Linked DNA regions of Callithrix jacchus. The protein of the gene in region 1 purifies or fractionates together with the protein of each later gene. This does not show direct contact. Links are inferred from orthologs where the notes say so. Each region holds a gene or a part of one and is shown in the gene's direction. Other genes may lie near its edges. The genes, in order: ATXN7 and USP22.

The links.
Region 2: the proteins of ATXN7 (region 1) and USP22 purify together in Homo sapiens (affinity purification with western blotting; 7 studies listed by BioGRID and IntAct, with this or other methods). This does not show direct contact. The link is inferred for Callithrix jacchus from reciprocal best matches to the Homo sapiens genes ATXN7 and USP22.

The regions. Positions count from the first base shown.
Region 1 is NC_133516.1:45,686,423-45,690,788, forward strand, and holds the start of ATXN7 (ataxin-7), read left to right. Parts: upstream 1-1,408; 5' UTR 1,409-1,478; exon of another isoform or gene 1,479-1,500; intron 1,501-1,898; 5' UTR 1,899-1,909; coding exon 1,910-2,228; intron 2,229-2,464; coding exon 2,465-2,533; intron 2,534-4,366. UniProt on the Homo sapiens protein: Acts as a component of the SAGA (aka STAGA) transcription coactivator-HAT complex. Mediates the interaction of SAGA complex with the CRX and is involved in CRX-dependent gene activation.
Region 2 is NC_133506.1:64,955,565-64,959,369, forward strand, and holds part of USP22 (ubiquitin carboxyl-terminal hydrolase 22), read left to right. Parts: coding exon 1-89; intron 90-965; coding exon 966-1,057; intron 1,058-3,263; coding exon 3,264-3,326; intron 3,327-3,805. UniProt on the Homo sapiens protein: Deubiquitinase that plays a role in several cellular processes including transcriptional regulation, cell cycle progression or innate immunity.

The DNA.
Region 1 (4,366 bases):
ATTCCTCTCTATATTGTCTATTCTTGTTAGCATTTTGTCAAACCTTTTTTCAAAGTTCTTAGTTTCTTTACATTGGGTTAGAACAAGTTCCTTTTAACTCCCAGAAGTTTCTTATCATCCACCTTCTGAAGCCTACTTCTGTTAATGGAACAGTCCTTCTCCATCAGGCCTTGTTCGGTTGCTGATGAGGAACTGTAATCCCCTCTAGACGGAGAGGTGTTCTGATTTTGGGTATTCTCAGCCTTTTTAAGCTGGTTTCTTCCCTTCGTTATAAATTTATCCATCTGTCCTCTTTGCAGTTATCGCCTTTCTAATTAGGTTTCTGAGTGGACATCCAATTTATTGCTTCCCAGTGCCGGAATCTGAGCAACCCACTGCGTCTAAAACAGTGGCGTTAAGACTGATGGTGCTGTTCTGCCCGGGAATCTCCGGTCTGGCTTCCTAAGGAAGCCAGAATCATTGTTTTTATCTCAGGCTTCAAATTTTCACATCAATTTCATGTAATAGTAATAATATCAACACTTATTGAAAGTGGTGTGGTCTGGTACTGTTTCAATTATTTTGAATGCTTTAGGTCATTAAGTTGCCTTTTATTTTCCCATCTGTAGCCTATCACTAAGCAAATGTTGTGTGTGTTGGGGAGGGGTGCTACGTTTTGTGGGCCAGTGTTTAATTTACTGAACAAAATTTGACCAAAAACAGTATTTTCTAAACATGTTTTGTAGCAATTCCTTATATTCCACTAATCCCTGGTGTCTCATCCTGCCCAAGAAAAGACAAGCAGAAAGAGGGAAGGACTAATAACTCGAGTTAAAAATGAATCAGATTTTTATTTTGGGGGTGAATAAATCACTTCCAGGACCAATGGAAGCCCCAAAATTGGGGTGGTGCCTCTAAAACATGTAGACGAATTACACCTCTTCTCGGTTTGTTTCACTCCTCCATTTCCTCTCACACTGATCTCATGGTCTCTCTTTGCTGGATGAGTTCAAGTTCCCCGGGCGCACAATTGTGACTTCCAGTTGCGGGTCGGGGGCACACGTGTGGGCAGCGTGGCGCGCACGGGGTACTTCGTCCTGACACCTGGGCGGCACTTCGTTACCAGCCCAGGGTTCCCTGCGTGCCCAGCGTCTGCTTGGCGGCGGCTTCCCATTCATGCTTTTGACAACTGCGCGGCGGTCCCCAAGCCGAGGGCAAAGTGCCCCCTGCACCAGCCTCTCCCACGCTGCCCTGGGGCCAGCCGGCCAACTCCTCCATAGGTGGTTGCATTTCCGACTTCGCCCTGGCTGCACTCCGGGGGCTTGACGTGCAAACTTCGCTAGAGCGAGCTGAGAGGGAGGGACCGGCAAGTGGGAGGAGGCGGCGGGAGGCGCCTCCGCTTAAGGGAGCCGGCCGGGCGCCGCAGCTCGGACTGACGGGCGGACGGAAGGAAGGAGCGGGGCAGCCGGGCCAGGCCCGGGGATGCGAGCAGCCGCCGGGTGGGCAGCTGGAGGACCTGGGGTGCGGCTCGGGCTTCCCCACGCGGGCTGCTGTGGTGGGGCGTGGGGCCGCTCTGGCGCCGGCCTCCGCTCCGGTGCCGGCCTCTGCGCCGGGTCCCCTGGGCAGAGGCAAGCAGGGGACCCAGCGTCGCGGTGGCGGGCCGCGGGCCGCGGGCCGCCAGTACTCTCCCTCCAGGGACCGCAAGAGTCGAAAGCGAAAGCTAGTCCGCTCTGCGGACTTTGCGCCCGGGGCTGGGGGTGGCCGCGAGGAGGCGGGCTCAGGGGGTTGGGCGGCCTGGGGGCGCTGTCAGCGCGCCCCACCCGGTCCGCGGGCCACGCACGCCGCCGGAACTCCCCGGCGCCTCCTTAAAAAGCTTCCCCCGCGCGACTCTTTCCCCCCTTTTTTTTGTTACATTGTAGGAGCGGAAAGAATGTCGGAGCGGGCCGCGGATGACGTCAGGGGGGAGCCGCGCCGCGCGGCGGCGGCGGCGGGCGGAGCAGCGGCTGCGGCCGCTCGGCGGCAGCAGCAGCAGCAGCAACAGCCTTCGCAGCCCCAGCGGCAGCATTCGCCGCCGCCGCCGCCGCCGCCGCGGCGTCCACGGCCGGAGGACGGCGGGCCCGGCGCCGCCTCCACCTCGGCTGCCGCAATGGCGACGGTCGGGGAGCGCAGGCCCCTGCCCAGTCCTGAAGTAATGCTGGGACAGTCGTGGAATCTGTGGGTTGAGGCTTCCAAACTTCCTGGAAAGGACGGTGAGTGTCCACGCCCTCTTCCCTTCTTCACTCCCCACCCCACGACCCCTTCCCCCACCTCACCTCCCCCTCGCCCCCGTCCTGTGACCCGCCCCCTCGAGGGGCCGAGATGCTATCGTTCGCTGGGTTGCGGAACGCGGAGGTGCCCACACCTACCCTGTGCGTGCGTGAGCGTGCGTCACACTCCCAGCCACTGACCTGCCTCTCCCCTCCTCCTGTGTGTGTATATCTCCTAGGGACAGAATTGGACGAAAGTTTCAAGGAGTTTGGGAAAAACCGCGAAGTCATGGGGCTCTGTCGGGAAGGTGAGTCCAGCCCCCCTGATGGAGTTTGTGCAACCCCCGGGGAAGTTTCCTGGACCCTTCACCCGGGCCGGGAACTTCAGCCCACGATACCGACTTTCCCCGTGCCTGTAATGATGCTGCCTGAGGAGAGGAGGGAGGGAGAGGGCAGAGTGCTTGGAAAGTCTGGTTTGGGGGCCTCCTGTAATACGGAGCGTCCGGAATCCTGTGGCCAGGCAGGAGCAGCAGTTTTGGTGATGAGCGCTGGGAGCCGATGGGAAGTTTAACCTAGATCTCTGCGGTTCTGACCCCCTCATGGAGAAACACGAATGGATGAAGGATTTCTTAGCTTTTAAACATTTCCACAAATGCTTAGGAGATATCTTCTGTTGGCAATCAAAGCGAATTTTGAACTTAAAGACGATGCTTTACCTATTTAGTCTTATTTCTGTGGGAGTTAAAGTACAAGTTGAGGATGCTACAAAAAGATCTTTGTAACCCAGAGTGCAATTGGTCAGATTTTTTGTGAGCCGCCAAGATCAGTGTGGAAAGCAAGCCAGGACTTTATTTTGTAAAACAAGCCTTTACTACCCGTAGCTAGTGAAATCAGGGTCTAATTATTGGTTAGTTTTAAACTGATAAAAAGATACTCTAGAGAAATAGCTGTAGCTAAGGGTATGCCTCCAAATGAAGGTCAGGCCAGGTATCTGGAAACTGTCAGACGTTTCCTTGGTATTTTCTATTTCTTTGAATGGTCAGCTTTCGCTGTCTAATACCTGCACTGGGCCTGGGCACACCATGGTCAGAAAGGAATTCTGAAGTCCAGTGAAGTTTGGGTTCAGTTTCAAGTTATTTTTTAGGTGACTTAGGACAAGGCTTTCAGTGAGGTTTGGAATACTGAGTTTATAGTTCCCAAATACAATTTTATCTCTTACTTGTAGCCATTTAATTTGGCAGAATTTTTGTCTATGGTCCAAGAATAGGTAGAACTTTGGCAACTGTTTGCCCAAAAGTCCTTAGTTTGCCTATTGTTACTGTCTTCACATTTCCTTCTTGTTTTTCACACCGGCTTTTTCTTCACTTAATTCTGTTCAGGTTTTTTTTGAATTGGCCGCTTGTTGGCGTCTTGGCACTGGGAGGAAGAGTAATACCAGTGACAGCTTAATGAGAGCTTCCTGTTGGAACAGATTATAGAACAAATCAGTCGATTTTTAAAATGAGAATTGCTGTTTGACGGTAAAGGAAAGCGAGGGAAAGCACAGGATTTGTTGATGATGTTGCAATGGGAAAAATCAGTTGCTAGTCCGGTTTTAGTGTTTAATTGGCAGCCTGCCTGGGCTTAAAAAATTAAAATCACTAGGTGGCAACTCGCATAGGAAGCAGTTGGAGTATAGCTTTAGAGGACCTGACCCACTCTTGTTCTTAGTCTTCATTCTCTGGGTGTGGATGCATTTCCCATAAAGGGTTTCTAAATCTGTGTGAAAACAAGATTCTAATTATCAATAATTCTGCTGTAAAGGATGAGTTAAGTGTATTAATGTTTTACTGGGTGCTGTGATCTGGACAGGGATCCAACAAGATTAAGGGGACTGTACCTAATTTTTGATATATGTTATTTTCTGTGGGGATTCATTTATCAGCAGGTTTTCCACGAAGATCAAAGACCTTAAACTACCTGCTTGAGGCACAAAGGGGACATGGATCTTGTTAGTGTTTTTTAAGGGTTCCCTTCCTCCGCCTTTTAAAGCTGCTCTAACCATTTAGAGGATGCTATAGCTATCAGGCCACTTGAAACTTACATGTTTCTGAGTCGAGACTGAAGTTTTAAATTCAGTCAGTTGTTCATTTGTTTGCGAT
Region 2 (3,805 bases), on another chromosome or scaffold:
TCAAGTGTAGTGGGTGCCACAGCTACCAGGAGTCCACGAAGCAGCTCACCATGAAGAAACTGCCCATTGTAGCCTGTTTTCATCTCAAAGTGAGTTTTCCAGAAAGCCAACTCGAGTGGCAGGCTCAATTTCCAATCCACAGTGCGGCCCTCAGCCTTTTGGTTTGCTGTGCAGTTACATGTTTTATTGCAGCAAGCCAGCAAGAACACTGAGGAATGGAGGACGCTCGTGAATTGTCCTTCTGTCTGGGAATTGTCCTTTTGTCTGTGCTGCGGTAAACAGAATCAGTGGCTTCACAATGAAAGTAGGATGTGAGTTAACTTTTCTTGGGGAGCAGAGCCTTGTGAAGTTTTTCCACCCAAATTCCTCTAGCTCCTCCCTCCTCAGGTTTTCTGTTGTTCTTTTATTTGAAGACAAAGGCCCTCAGAATTCAGATCTGCTCCAGGAGTTGGCCAGCTGTTTGTCTAAAGGCCCAGATAGTGAAGCTGTCAGGCTGCACAGGCTGCGTGCGAGCATACGATTCTCTGTTGCATGCTCTTTGTTTCATTTTATACCCTTTAAACATGGAAGGCACCCATTCCTAGCTTGTTGGCTAGAATGGGTAACTCCTGATCTAGGCAGAGGACTGTCTGTTCGGTGAAGGGAACAGTTGGTTTGTTTTTGCTGCCATGGGTTGTGGATCTTTGTTTTGTTTTCTGTGCTCTGCTGGATTTGCTGCGAGATTATTTTTTGTACTCTGGGTACTGAACAAGCCGATCATTTGAAGGCTTCACTTGAACTCTGTAAATGAAGTCTTGTATGGATTACTATTGTTTTTTAATCTAATTCTAGATGTAGCCATAAGGCAATTCAATAAAATACAAAGCGATAACACAGACACCTGTCATCACAAGAAGCCCCTGAAGCTTCCAGTAATGTTTCTGGTCGTCTTTCCTCTTCCCTCTGCCCCTTTCCTATTTCTGCAGCGATTTGAACATTCAGCCAAGCTGCGGAGGAAGATCACCACGTATGTCTCCTTCCCCCTAGAGCTGGACATGACCCCTTTCATGGCCTCCAGGTAGGTGGGGGTGTTGGCCCATTCTGTGTCCGGAGGGTCTGTCATCCTATCAGGACAGGAATCCTGCTTGGAACTGCTGTCAGATGCCTGTTGGCCGGGCGAGGTGGCTCACGCCTGGAATCCCAGCACTTTGGGAGGCCGAGGCAGGTGGATCACGAGATCAAGAGATCGAGACCATCTGGGCCAACATGGTGAAACCCCGTCTCTACTAAAAATACAAAAATTAGCTGGGCGTGGTGGCGTGCGCCTGTGGTCCCAGCTAGAACCTGGGAGGCGGAGGTTGCAGTGAGTCAAGATCGCACCACTGCACTCCAACCTGTTGACAGAGCGAGACTCCGGCTCTGGGGGAAAAGAAAAGATGATTGTTTATATTAATAGAAACCCCACCCTCCCAAAACCTATTTATCCTAATCTTAAGATATGGTACACATTAATGAGTTGTTCTTTGTCAGATACCCTGTTTTTGCTTTGAATGTTTCTCTGACAATTCTCAAACCACTTTCAAACTGGCAGATTCCTCAAGGTGGATCATAGTGAGAAGGTAACGCTTTACTTCCTGAAACAGAGGTTGAAGTACAGACAGGCACAGTTGGTTTTGCAGTTGTAGACTGCATTTTCCTTTTCAAATCTGCATATTATGGGGCACTTTGAATTTAACCCTCCAGAATACCATGCTGTTCAATGCATGAGACACATAGGAGTTTCTCATGGCTCAGTGACAAATGACCGAAAACTTGGTGGATTAAAATTAATTTCCTCACAGTTCTAGAGGTGGGAAATCTGAAATCAAGGTGGGCAGGGCCTCACATTCCTACTTGGGTCTGGGGGATTTCACTCCTCACCGCCTCCAGCTGCCGGTGCTTCCACATGTTCCCTCTGTGGCCGCGCCACTCTCATGGCTTCCTGGTCACAGGGCTGGTTCCCCTGAGTCTGGCCAGTCTCCCTGTGCTTCTCCGTCATGACAGGTTGTTGGATTTAGGGCTCAGGCAAATCCAGGAGGATGTCATCTCGACATCCTTGCTTTGAGTCTCTGCAAAGACTGGTTTCACAGATGAGGTTCCAGAATCAGGTTCTGAGGGTTGAGACTTGGATGTCGTTATTTGCAGGGTGTTATTTTTTTGGCCGCCACAGCCCCAGCCCCAGCCCCAGCACCTTGGAAAGCATGTTGCCTTTTGGTAATCGGCCTGTTCCTGGTGTTTTTTTGGTGGGGTTTTTTTTTTTTTCTTTGAGACAGAGTCGCACTCTGTCACCCAGGCTGGAGTGCAGTGGCACAATCTCGGCTCACTGCAACCTCTGCCTCGCTGGTTCAAGCAATTTTCCTGCCTCAGACTCCCAAACAATGGGGGTTGCAGGTGCGCCCCACCACGCTCAGCTAATTTTTGTTATTTTTTAGTAGAGACGGGGTTTCATCATATTGGCCAGGCTGGTCTTGAACTCCTCATCTCGTGATCCTCCTGCCTTGGCCTCCCAAAGTGCTGGGATTACAGGCGTGAACCACTCTGCCTGGCCCCTGGTGTCCTTCCTCTTTGCTGTTCCACCCCTGTGGCACACAGATGATCTCCCAAATAAAACAAGACCACCAGAGTCAGAGCTCCATATTATCAGTCTGACCACGATGGTCACGTACTGAGGGCGTGGCAGTGCTGTTGCTGAGGTCAGAGTCTCAGAGATCTTGGGTGTTTCCTGCCAAACACACTGTGGGAAAATGCAGTAAATAGTGCGCATGCTTCCTGTTTCCAGCCGCCCCTCCCCCGTCTCGCCAGGAGAGGTGCCGGTCTTGAAATAATGAGCGGCAATCTTTGTCCCTTTTGAGGAGGCAGCTGCCTAGGTTGTGGAATGGATTCAGCTTTTCAAGCTAACCCTTTATGTGTGGGAGGAAGAGCTTCACCACCTGCTGTGTCACAAACCAAATTCACATTCATCCAGATCCAGCTCCCATCACCAGGCCCATTCAGGACCCACCTTGGAAGAATCAGGGGTCAGGCCAGATGGCCCCAGGACCCGGGTGTGCTCTCAGGCAGGGGACTTGACAACTCAAGTGTCAGTGTCCTCACGAAATGTGGGGAGATTTCTCCACGAAGCATGAAGTGCACCCCAGCGTTGCGTCTGCACAGTCAGACCTGGATAAGTGTTGGTTTCATGAGAGCCTTGTGTCTCTGGGCCTGATGATTTTAATGATGCTGAATCCTGCCGTTGTTTGTTACAGCAAAGAGAGTAGGATGAACGGACAGTACCAGCAGCCCACAGACAGTCTCAACAACGACAACAAGTAAGTGGTGCTCAGTGGTGTGGGTGTCCAGGGCCTCTGGCCAAGAGCTGGGGTGGGCTCCTGTCTGCTTGTAGGGCATCCAGCAGATCTTCTGCCACCCACCTGCTTCCTGCCTGGCTGCCCACAGCCCCACTAGGAAAGGCCATTTTATGCGGTGCCACAAATGCTCCCTCCTGTTGGAGGAGTCCAGCTCCACTCCTGGCCTCTGGCTGGAGGAAGGTTCCATCTGGAAAGCTCGGTGTCCATTCTTCTAGCCTTGAGGTTGTAGAAAGAATGAAAGGCTAGTAGGATGTTCCAGCGTCCCCACTGCGGACTGAGTCGCCACGCCTGCTAGATGCGGGTCCAGGAAGCGGCTGGACCTGGGCTAGAGCCAAGGGGCATGACCAGGCTCCCTTAGTCCCTGCAGCCTCAGCTTGAGGCCCAGGGGGGTGATAGCCAGGTTCACAGGCCTCCTGCTCCCTGCCCGGGTGGCCTGGCTT